Bombyx mori: one gene and its partner. The protein of the gene in region 1 purifies or fractionates together with the protein of each later gene. This does not show direct contact. Links are inferred from orthologs where the notes say so. Each region holds a gene or a part of one and is shown on either strand. Other genes may lie near its edges.

Evidence for each region. Proteins that work in one complex are often made in the same cells at the same time.
Region 2: the proteins of COPB2 (region 1) and COPD fractionate together in Homo sapiens (co-fractionation; 5 studies listed by BioGRID and IntAct, with this or other methods). This does not show direct contact. The link is inferred for Bombyx mori from reciprocal best matches to the Homo sapiens genes COPB2 and ARCN1.

What each region holds. Positions count from the first base shown.
Region 1 is NC_085107.1:19,806,863-19,813,098, reverse strand, and holds part of COPB2 (coatomer protein complex subunit beta 2), read left to right. Parts: intron 1-2,524; coding exon 2,525-2,717; intron 2,718-3,114; coding exon 3,115-3,263; intron 3,264-3,695; coding exon 3,696-3,870; intron 3,871-4,048; coding exon 4,049-4,235; intron 4,236-4,409; coding exon 4,410-4,543; intron 4,544-4,868; coding exon 4,869-5,168; intron 5,169-5,493; coding exon 5,494-5,596; intron 5,597-5,757; coding exon 5,758-5,923; intron 5,924-6,236. UniProt on the Homo sapiens protein: The coatomer is a cytosolic protein complex that binds to dilysine motifs and reversibly associates with Golgi non-clathrin-coated vesicles, which further mediate biosynthetic protein transport from the ER, via the Golgi up to the trans Golgi network.
Region 2 is NC_085130.1:5,923,261-5,930,009, forward strand, and holds the start of COPD (coatomer protein complex subunit delta), read right to left. Parts: upstream 4,116-6,749; 5' UTR 4,081-4,115; coding exon 4,078-4,080; intron 3,934-4,077; coding exon 3,894-3,933; intron 3,780-3,893; coding exon 3,659-3,779; intron 3,278-3,658; coding exon 3,175-3,277; intron 2,231-3,174; coding exon 2,111-2,230; intron 1,505-2,110; coding exon 1,445-1,504; intron 41-1,444; coding exon 1-40. Other genes in the region: deubiquitinase DESI2, read left to right, coding at 4,974-5,019, 5,631-5,770. UniProt on the Homo sapiens protein: Component of the coatomer, a cytosolic protein complex that binds to dilysine motifs and reversibly associates with Golgi non-clathrin-coated vesicles, which further mediate biosynthetic protein transport from the ER, via the Golgi up to the trans Golgi network.

The DNA of each region.
Region 1 (6,236 bases):
CTGGATGGTTTTGGCTATTAATGTTTCTCACTTGTTTCAAAATAGTTACTCACTGTTTAGACTGGAGTTTATTCCTGCCTTGTGTCAGATAAGAGTATTCAGAAATACTGCTCTAATAGTAATAGACAACCAGTGTAGTTCACAATTCCGTCCACCATGAGTGAGGTCAATTGTAATAAATGTTCTGCCTTTCGAAAGAGAATCCATATTTGCTTTGCTGTAGAAATAGGTAGAATGGTGACAGTTACTTGGATGGACCTACAGTATACTACCACTAGTAGTAGTAAGTAATTACATTAATTTATGACTATGGATCTTTGTTACTCAATATTATTATTTTCTCATAGCTCAAAAATAATCTGGAATATATAGCCACTCAAGGCCAAAATATTCATTAGCCTGACAGAAATTGTTAGTTTTCCCAGATTAAGATGTACATTGTATTAAGCTCTGCCATCAAAAACCTCCACAGTGAATTTACATCTAAAGTATTTATATTTTCTCTGGTCAACAGTACGAAACTGCATGCAAAAGCCCTGTTGATATGATTTGATAACTAGTACACCCAAGATGCTTTCAGCTTAGGTTGCAAAAGGTACTGCTTGAAGAGTGCATTCTCTGTACCAAGAAGGTAATGAATATTGGTCCAAGTAAGGTAATATTATGGTTGATGCTGTATTTGAGCCTCAATGAAGACATTTAATATTTTGGGATAGTCACCACTAATCTGAGTAGGTCTCATTGACTCCCCACCTGATATTAATAGTGATGATATTCCCTCATGGAAGTGATAAATATTAATAGCTCGACAAAAATTCATACTTGCCTGTGATATTTGAACATCAGAACACTTGTATCTCTTGAAATTATTACCAGAGGCATCTCATTTAGGTTTTGATGATTATAACTTCATTTCAGCTCCTCTGTAGTTTGGTTCTTGCACAAAAATTAAACGTAAAACTGTTCAACAATAGCAGCAGCGACACAAAAAAAAACTGAAGTAAAATTAAATAGTTTTCTAATAAAAGATATCAAGAATATTCATTATTTGTCATGATGGATGAATTATAGATTAATCATATATATTAGAATCGGTTCCAACTACTATTAATTATGAACCTGAATGATGACAGTTTCACCATTGAAAGTACTCATTGAATTGAAAGAAATCCATCATTATTAAATATGTAATATTATGAAATAAATCATGGAAAACTTGCACATAAACATGCTTTTTAGCATATAAGCTTTGATTCTTAGATTATAGCTATCTAAGATTATAGCAATAGAGAATCATAAGTAACAACAAATTTCAAAACACCATTAATTAATTGATAGCATATTGATTTATGCCAATAAAAGCATTTGAGTCAGTGAACTGAAACTCAGTTACATTATACTCTCTGAATGTGTTATGAAAGGTTCACATAATTTAATAGTTAATGTTTACCTACAGTCAACTTTGTTCTTAGCATATCTTTTTTATTGCGTAGATGGTCACACAATGAGGTCACAGTCCACTAAGACAAAATTAGTTAACAGAGTCCATAGACATCACCAGGTGAACGCTCCCAATAACTATGCGAAGTCTCCATTTAAATTGAATCACATGACTTCCAATCAGTAAAAATGGGAACAGCGGTACCTATTCATACAGGCTTATAATATATTTTACCAGAAAATTGATACACATCTATTCAGTAATTGCTACTTAAGTAGCTTTAAAGTGTGTCCAAGAATAGACTCCTTGTATGTGGCAAAGTTTTTATATTGTTAATGATAGGGACAACAGCTGTATTTAACATTGTTCTACTGTCAATGTTATCTCATTCATTGCTTAAGCATTCATCGGATAATTTGATTTTCCAGTAATCTTTAATAAAGATGAGAAATTGTGTTTTTGTTTTTATTTTCTTAATGATACGAACATAAATGGCTGCTCATTTGTAATACTTGAGAGTGCTTTGTTTTCCAGTACTTTTACCTAAAATAACCAAGCATTTTGTAGCAAAACACATACACACAACAATTGTACAATTGAGTTGAATTCTATGACACTATTGGATATTTAATAATTAAAGTCAGATAGATACCTTATTTAAATGAATTGATCATATGACTTTTATTAAAGCAAATATTTGGTGCATATGTTCATTGTACTATCAATACATATCAATATACTGTCCATCAATTGATTGATTGACTGTATTAGAGGGTTGTCAAGAGATTGAGCCTATACACTGTCTTCAACCTTGAAATATGATGTTGGAGTATTGCAGAGTACAATTGCCATGGGATAACTACTGTTCTATGTTTTAATCTTCATCAGTAATTACTTAAAAAATAACGTGATTGAAAATCATGTTTCTAAGAATACATTTTTTTTTGTATTTTCAAATGAATTCTGTGCTTTATACTCTCCGTATAAATTAAATTAGAGTAAACATCATTCTGTAAGTAAACCAAAATGCCTCCAATTACAATACATAGTAAATTTTATAATAATTCGTTTTATTTTAAACAGGTATGTGATCTCCCGGTGAGATCAGCAAAGTTTGTTCCCCGGAAGAACTGGGTGATAACTGGCTCAGATGACATGCAGATACGTGTATTCAACTACAACACCCTGGAGAGGGTTCACTCATTTGAAGCACATTCGGATTATGTGCGATGCATAGCCGTTCATCCCACACAACCGTACATATTGACTTGCAGTGGTGAGTACTTGAAAGAAATAGATGTACTTGTCTACAATTTGCATAAAAACAATCACAAATTCTGTTTTACTTGGTTTGATTTATTTTATTTAGCTTAATAATATATAAGTATGTTTGTCCGATGAAGTCTACAAAACCTTGGGTTTTATTTTAAAGCTGTTAAATGAACTTGAGGAATATTTAATTTTAATTGTAGCTTGTAAGATATAAGATAGTTTGAACTATTGAAAATAATTGTAGGGGTTTCTGATCTGTATCTAATTTTACTACACGGAAAGGAACAGAGAGAAAAAATATGATGAGCTTGGAATGACTTAGGCTTATCAAGCATTACATACTGCATATTGACAAAGAGAATTTAGAAAAAATACAGTATCAAATAAACACAATATTTCAGATGATCTCCTAATCAAATTGTGGAACTGGGACCGTAATTGGACATGTCAGCAAGTATTCGAAGGGCATACGCATTACGTAATGCAGATCGTTATCAACCCGAAGGATAACAATACCTTCGCAAGCGCAAGTCTCGACACTACTGTGAAGGTAGGAATAATGGCGACGTATTGACGCCAACTGCGTTAAGATCCTTTCTCTTGTTGACATAGATCAGTAAAGGCGATAAAGCTCTTGTGGTAATTAGTGCTTACAACGAGAATGTTGCCGCGTACTTTAGGACATGAGAGATGGTATCGGTTTCGTGGTTAACCATGGACTCTGAATGATGAATGGATTATGGGCAATGAGCACTGAAACTGATGGTGAGGAGTGTTAGCTCGCATGTGTAGGTACCACGAACCTGTCTCATCCTGCCGCGAAGCAGACATGCCATCTAGTTTGAAGGGTGAAATAATTAGCTTTTACACAATGTAATGGGGGCCTTGACCTCATGTCTGAAGGTATCCATAAAGGGACAACATTCACGTAACGATGTCTAAAATAGTTGAACTTTCTTAATGTTTATCGTACTATTTTTAGGTTTGGCAACTTGGTGCTTCTATATCGAACTTCACTTTAGAAGGTCACGAGAAAGGCGTCAACTGCGTGGACTATTATCATGGCGGTGACAAGCCCTACCTCATCAGTGGAGCTGATGACAGGCTCGTCAAAATATGGGATTACCAAAATAAGACATGTGTACAAACATTGGAAGGTAAGTTTTGATAGAAGATTGTGCGTTTCTTAGTCCTGCATTGATTTAATCCGAGCTTTAAAAAAATCAAATAAAAATATATATTCCTGGGACTTATTACGAGAAGTAGACGACAGAATGTCATCGGGTTGGGATGGGGCCTAAATACGCAAACATAACTTATCTCATTCTTGGACAGGTCATGTTCAGAATGTATCAGCAGTATCATTCCACCCCGAGCTTCCGATCCTGCTAACCGGTTCTGAAGACGGCACCCTCAGAATATGGCACGCAGGCACCTACAGGCTCAAGTCTTCCCTAAATTATGGTTTCGAAAGAGTATGGACGATATCCACCATGCACGGTTCGAACAACGTCGCTGTAGGGTGAGTTTCTTGATGATTACTCAAGATGTGAGTTATTTTAGTCAATTGGCGATTATATTTTAATTAAATGTAGGTTTCATTATTACGATAAATTGGATCAAAGTAATATCTGGTTGTAATGGTAGGAGACTTAATTATTTTTCTCAATATTAATTTCACGTTTGTTATTGATAGGTATGACGAAGGTACGATAATGATAAAAGTGGGCAGAGAAGAGCCTGCTATATCTATGGACGTGAACGGAGGAAAGATTATCTGTGCTAAGCACTCTGAATTGCAGCAGGTCAACTTGAAGGCTCTCCCTGAAGGTAACAAAGCAAAATTAAAATCAAATGTTCAGTTTGGTAGTTTTCTTATCTTGTAATAAGACGCATTAATAAAAGATAGAAAAAGTGTGTATGAGTGTGAGAGAGAAAGAAATATTTAAATACTTATTCTGCTGGCACTCAAGATAAGACCCCAAATACTCTTTACTGCCTATAAAATTATAAAATACTAATAAAATAGCATTGTCTATTTTTCTCGAATCAACAGAACTTTCATTACAAACACAAAATTGATTTTGAAGTATTGTTTAAAATTCAAAATTCGCTAAAAATTCAATCATTGCAACACAGTTCTTTCAATATTTAGGCACAGAAATAAAGGACGGAGAGCGTGTACCAGTCGTTGCTAAAGACATGGGCTCCTGCGAGATATACCCACAAACGATAGCCCACAATCCGAACGGTAGATTCGTGGTGGTGTGCGGTGATGGTGAGTTCATCATATACACCGCGATGGCTCTGAGGAACAAGGCGTTCGGGACGGCCCAGGAGTTTGTATGGGCATTCGACAGCTCAGAGTATGCGACTCTAGAGAATTCATCTTCAGTTAAAGTCTTCAAGAATTTCAAGGAGAGAAAAAGCTTCAAGCCCGAGTACGGTGCTGAAGGTGAGAACAGTACGATATTTTTTTATTTCCATTTTACTTTGTGATTAAATTTTGTAAACGGGTTTAAAAGTCGACAGGGTCAAGAATGGAGTTATTTATATAATTTTATGGTTACGCACAACAAATTTAACTACTTTAAATCACATATCAGCTGATTTCTTGTTTATATGAAAAAATCTCTTTACTACTAGTATGAATACATGATTTTCTAAATAATATACTGAAACAATCTAATAAAAATGCTCAAGTTTAGTTTATGATTGTAAAAGTTAAAAGTATTATCGAAATGAATAATACTGTTTACCGTTGTAAGATTATACTGTAGTGTTTTGTTCAGGTATATTCGGAGGTTACATGCTCGGCGTGAAGTCTATCAGCGGAGTAGCATTCTCGTTCTACGATTGGGAACATTTGGAACTGGTCAGACGGTACGATTCTCATCTCTATCTAATTTAGATGTTTACAAGAAATTATGTTTCTAAAGCCTTTAAGAAGAGTTGTTATGTTTACAATTTTTTTGTTGCGACAACAATTTGCTCAATGTCTCTCATGTCCTTTTTATACCACTAAACTAACGATTGTTCAACAGTATTGAGATTCAGCCTCGTCACGTGTTTTGGTCTGAAAGCGGGAACCTTGTGTGTTTGGCTACCGATGAAACTTACTTCATCCTGAAGTACAACGCTGCCGTGGTGACCAGAGCAAGGGAGACTAATACCGACATTACTGAGGATGGAATTGAAGATGCGTTTGAGGTAACAAAATTATAAATTATACTAAGGCGGTCAGATGATGATTACAGTTCAATTGAAGCTTAACACGAAATGGATCATCTTCGTCTGCCCTTCTACGCCAGATGTCGCTGCGCTAGCAAAATCTTTTTTCATCATATCTGAATACAGAAGTCACTAATGTTCCTTTAACTCTCATTATTGTGTCTTTGTACCCTCGTATACTGCTTACAGCTAAATACATAATCAGTCACAGCTTACTGAGTTGAGTTAAAGGGTTTTTTCCCTTCATGAAATGGTCAGAATTTTAAAAATAAAATATCTAATTGCAAACGTG
Region 2 (6,749 bases), on another chromosome or scaffold:
CGCGTTCGCGCATGCGGTTCGCTGCCTCGCGTTCTTGGGTCTAAAGTGTTTGTAAGTATTTATTTATTTATTGCTTAGATGGATGGACGAGCTCATAGCCCACCTGGTGTTGTGGTTACTGGAGCCCAGAAATCTACATCGCAAATGCGCCACCCACCTTGAGATATAAGGTTAAGGTCTCAGTATATTTACAACGGCTGCTTCATCCTTCAAACCGAAACGCATTACTGCTTCACGGCAGAAATACGTATAATTGTGGGTGTGTCACTGGTGGTAGGACCTCTTGTGATTCCGCGCGGGTGGGTACCACCGCCCTGTCTATTTCCGCCGTGAAGCAGTAATGCGTTTCGCGTTTCGGTTCGAAGGGTCGAGTAGCCGTTGTAACTATACTGAGACCTTAGAACTTATATCTCGAGGTGCGTGGCGCATTTACGTTGTAGATGTCTATGGGCTCCAGTAACCACTTAACACCAGGTGGGCTGTGAGCTCGTCCATCCATCTAAGCAATAAAAAATAAAAAAAATGTTTTTTTATGGAGACAGATGATGCTATATCGGAACACTGGCATGAGTAATGGTAGGCAGCGACTTGGCTGTGCCCCTGGCATTGATGACGTTCATGAGCGACGGTAACCAATTACCATCAGGTGGGCCGTAAGCTCACCTCCCTTTAAAGGCAACAATAATAAAACAGTCCAACGGCTGCTTTAAATTACCAGGGACTCCCGTAAAATTATCGGAATTCGACTATAATCTATGACGCCTTAAAATTTACACAATGAGTCTATGTTTTGTATTATATTATCTGTGTTGTTAACTTATAAACTTTAAAAAAAAACCGTACCTAAAGTCATTAGCTATTAAACAGAATTTTATCTTTGTTTATCTATGTACAGATTACACACGATATTCGAATGAGTTTCACTACTTCCACATCGTGCAGTAACTAGTTGAATGACTCGGATACACAGCACAGTGGTTGCACTTCCGTCTACGGGGACGAGGGTCCTGAGTTCAAATCCCACATATATTCGTGTGATGAACACATTTGTTTGTTATTTTTCTGGGTGTTTTGTAGGCGTATATATCAACATATATTAGTCTGTGGTTCACATAGCACAGAAAAATTTAGGAACTTATAAAAAAAAATGCTGGATTTACTTGATACCTAAATATTTTAAGAGAATCCTTTTCTTATTAATCAGTTGTATTAATTTTATATAAATAACAAAAAATATAAACATGTAGGTAAATTATAATGATTTTTATTTAAACGTGGCAACCCAAGGCCAGTTGTTGCTAAACTCACGCGACCCACGGACGTATTTATGGAACATTGATTTACAGGAAACTCCGATCAAATAACAGTGAGCTGAATAATTTGTCTATAGACGAATATCACAATAGAAAGAAAATTAAAAACATTATTAAATTTATACACGTACCTGCCTTACGGCTTGATAAATCTTTTCCTCGTGAGAGTCCATTTCAACAAACGAACGGACCTTAAACAAAAAAATTCGCAAAATTTAAATTCAAGACTATATAGGGCAATGTAGAAAATCGGTAAACGATCTCACGGCCAACCTTTTCGTGATTACTAGATGCCGTGGATATCATAATGTGAATTCTGACATCCACCTTGAGACATGAGGTCTACATCTCAATAGTATGGCGGCTATTTCATCCATCGAACCGAAACGCATTACTGCTTAAGAGTTGAATTGAATATATCTGTCATATTGCTACGCGCTGAGGCTCGGGATAAATCTTTTACCGAAGTACAAATTAAAAGTCTATTTAACTCTTAGAACATTCAAGGAACACTTTACAATTTGCTATTCACCGTAGAACCGTTAACTAAACTGCCTTCATGTCATCTCTGCAACGCTTTTATAGTCGATACGACAAATCCACAATTATCGAGAACATTTCCAACAGGACGACTCCTTTCGATATGTTTTACCGCTATTTGATAATAGATGGCGTTACACATTTCGAGCGCTCTCGATGTTACTAGTTCTTTTGATATTCGTTTCTGCTATTCGATGATAGATGGCGTTACTCTTACCGGCGTAACAATATCAAATTCATCTGTCTTATACACATACCTGCGCTAGATTGACGCTTTCTCTGTACCCAAGAGCGACAATCTCGTCGAAAGCAAATAGCAAATTGAAGGCCTGGTTCAAGACTTCAGTTTCTGTGAGCTGTACACAATATTCTGGTACCTAGAAAGAAAATAATAAGCACCGATAACTTGCTATTTTTGCATGCAAAACAGCTCCAACAACCTAAAAATTTTATGTTATAAATTGTTATTGTTAAATGAGACTTCTTATGAACATTAGTGGTGGATATTGTTGCATGTGTTGCCCATGTCCACTGGCAGTGACAACCGTTATAGCAGTAGCAATTGTAAAATAAAAAATATAAGACAAAAACACTGAATCAGGCTAAGAACATTTTCATGATAATCTGGCATCACAAGTTCTGAACGACAAGATTCTTAAAGTCAATATTCATAGCAATATCATTCGCTCAGTAAAAGATTTTAAAGATTAACCTTAGTTTGTCATGCGTTTCACACAATAAGAGAATGATTGACTCTACGAAGCACTGCTCTTGCTAGGGCTAGTGTTAGCGACATACTCCCCGGGTATGCTGGCATAAGCCCTCATAGGCTCCAGTAACCACTTAACACCAGGTGGGCTGTAAGCTCGTCCACCCTTCTAAGCAATTAAAAAAAACTAAAAAAAACACAAAATATGAGTACACAGTACTCTAACATTTGTTATTTTACAAGTACATATTTTGTATTTGTTTATTAATAATACTAAAATTTGTTACTAAACATTATTTTTTATCAAAATCAATTGACATACCAAAGAATACAGTGTTCAAGTGTTTTTCTTTGCCCATTCATGTAAGTTTATTTGATTTGCCTAATGTGAACCACAGATCTGTTCTTTATTTTGTGCTATAATTGTGCAAAATTACTTGCACTATGAACTTTTGTGTACAATTTTAAATTGTTTACATCCGTGCCCCTCCCTCATTTTAATGAATACTGAAAAAACTACTGAAATTTTTGTAACTGATACAATCTGCAATGTCGTTATCACTATATATGTACTAAATAAATAAAAATTTAATGCGATTAATAATATTTTACCACTCTGCTGAAGAGTCTCAATGTCTCCAGATCTTCCAGGATGTTACTAGCCTTTGTCGTGATCAGTAACATATACAACTTGTCTAGTGGCTGGTAGACATATCTGAAAGTGGTAAAAAATTTAGTCAGACATAATTTTGTATCAAAAATTTTTAACTTGCTTTATATATAATTGTACAGCATATAGGTGAGTAAACTGATGTCTCCTGTGGTGTATAGTTCCCATAGATATAAACGACAATAACAATGTTGCTACTCATTTTAAGACACAATGTTCAACTCTTTATTGTACATTATAACAACTTTCAAAATAGACATATGACACTGATTCACAGCAGTAATGGGTAATGCACTACACTTTTAGTTCTTATTTATTGATTAGATGAATATAATGGTATGCTTATAAACAACATTCGTCATTGGTATAAAAGAAAGAATAACTCATCGTAAAGAATATTAATGAAAATTTGTTAATGATAAATACCTGACGGACTCTGTTTCTACAAATGTATGCTGCCGTCCTCCTGTCATTAGTTTAGGGAAGGCCGCCAGTAGACCTTCGATGCGAGCTTTTGTCATTTCGACGAACTGGCGGGACACCAGAGCTAAATAAGTGGAACATCATTAATAGACAAGTAAAGTACTATATTACATTAAAATAATATTATGAAAAGTATCAAATGTCAGTAGTTGAAGCACATATCGGTAGTATAAATTACCTTTGCCTGACTTCGTACAAACTGTAGCGGCTATAAGTACCTGAAATAACATGAAAATACATATGATTTCAGTAGTAAACACTGACCGGGAACACAATAATATCTACAGGAATAGAATTAAAACAATGGGATTTATGGAATGTATGATGAAGAGTGTACGTTAATTTTATTTAACGTTACATACCATCTTGTTTTTATATTCTTATATCTAATTTTCATAAAACACACCAAAATATTTTAGGATAGGCTTCCACAAATTTGACAACACACACGATGAGGTGACGTGTTGACCATTTGACAGCAAACGTCAACAGTATTTTGTTAGACTATGGTTAGACCATGTTTGAGACATTAATCAACTGGGATGAAATGAGATAATATGGTATGAAATATAATCTCAGTAAAATTAGTGGAATTTTAGTGGACTTTTTGGAGGATCCCGAGAAGTTACGTTCAGCGGCTTTGTTTGATTTTCCCATATTTGTGCACTTTCACAGATACTAAGCAGTTAATAAACCACCGTTATTACATAATTAAACCTGAAGAAACACTAAATCGACAAAATAAAACAAATCACACAACTTCACTCCTAGCGTTCCCGCCAAAAAGCCTCTATGGTTAACTGCCAATTCTAGATAAAGATAATTGGTGAACTTGGTGTTAGAGAGTAATTCACAGGGAAGTCATTCAAAATAGTTCGGATTAAACAATTTTTATCCAACATTTCTAACTGCTAAGATTTGGTTTATGAAAAAACCCAGCTATAACTTAGACAAAGAAAAGATCTCATCTAAACTGTCAAAGATTATTTGTCAATGACAATTACAAGAGGAACATACCTAGTATAAATACTAAGTAGTCAAAATATAAATTTCAGTAATCTGTGCTTAAATGTCAAAAGTCAGTGTCTGTAAATCATTAAGTGTATAATCTATGCTGTAAATCAAGGCACGTTGAGGATAATTGTTCATAAATTATCAGTAAATTAAAAAAATATTTTTTTTTAAATAATAATTACATATTATTGTTCATTCATGTATTATGCTCACAATGGAGGCTACATTGTGACGCGGCCGGTTAATGTATACGGAATTTGCTTACACATCAAAGAAGCCAAATAACCGTAGTAAGTGAATTTGAAATATTTTCGTAGCTATAACTCGACAGGACACATGCTAGAGTCTTTGAATCTTATCTACGTTATATTCGCTAATGGTCAGACAATTTAATTTGCATACAATGACGATTTCGTGCCGAAACAGTGATAATCGTCAGACGAAAAGTCAGTCTTGTTTTGATAGTTCAATTTCATTAGTCAAAAGCGATTATCTCTGTTAATACGTACGCAAGTAATTATTTTTCAAGATTTTACACATTTGTAGTTGGTCTTAGTTTTATTCTAATGGAAGAAACATCTTTGATTGACAGTGACAATGAGGTACTTGCATGCTGTTGACATAATAATATCTTTATTAATATTTTACTTTTGAATGAGTTTTAGATGTTTGATGTTCTTTTACAGAACGTAGGAGAATGACAGTAAAAAATATTTTATTAATTTTTATCAGGTATAATTTTCAGTTCAATTTCAACATACCTTCATTTGATTAAAATTATAATTCAACTAGATGAAGGCTTAAAAGTAAATATTTCACAAAAAAAAAAACCTTAGGCTTAAACCTAATCGGCAAATATTCGAGGGCAAAATTTACAGTCCGTAGTGGCGATTATGTGTAGAAATGAGGAGATGTGACACGTGCAGTGCCCAAACTGAACGAAGGGCCACAGCGGGCCGCGGTGAAGAGTCAGGCGACCGCGACCCACTGTTACGCTCCCCAACAATATCTCAAGAGGAGCCCTACGATAACAGACCTTTCGTAAGACATATGTGTTTAACGTAGTTAGCATGTTCATTATTTTTATATAGTGTCATCAACACTATTTGAGCTGAAGTAATAAATGAATACTAAAGTTGGATTTTTTTATCAATGATTTTTATGTTTACTGTCGTTTTATCAATATACAATACCCTTTTAAGATAAAAAACTGGGTTTATCCTGTTTCTTTACCAAGTATACTTTAAATATAACATCAGTTATGATATGTTAATCAGTATTGCATGCTTAATTGATGAATAATGTTCCTTTGAATTTTTTTAATAATTGGATCATACCACACTTTGGAAAAAAAAAGAAACTTGAATTCTTAAATATATTCAATGAATTTGTCAACTCGAAATTCAGTGCTAATAATCTTAATTACTGGAACTGAATTGATATCTCAACCAAGCTTGGTAAACTTTAATGCAATGATAAATAGGTAAGGTAAGATGAAATAGGCATAGATGGTCCCTCCCTCTGCAAATATGTTGTTATATACTCCAAGATGATTTGTAAATTTCTGTTACTGTTATCAAAAATTTTTTAGATAAAGTACAAAAATTCTTGGGACAGCTCATTTAGTGTTGTAGACTGCACCGTAAATGTGTTCTTTTATTTCCGAAATGTAGATGTTCAAGCACTGTGTCAGCGTGTAATTTATCATACGCTAATTTGATAGTGATATTTTTAAAATTGACTGGAGAAATGTTGAAATAAAGCAAACAAGAATTGTTACCATCAACGAATGTAGTAATTGTAAAAAAGGTATTAAAACTGTTGGACATTTAAACATCTCCAATAAAACTGCGTAAAAATAAAATTGACCTAGTATTTTCTTCAGTTTTTCCTAGTGTTAGACAAAATTATAGCCCCCAGATTTACTGAATCGCGTTTCCGATCTGGTGGTAGATGCTGCGAAGCACTGCTCTTGCTAAGAATATTGCTAGCAACGTCCTCAGATTAAAGCCTCGTGAAC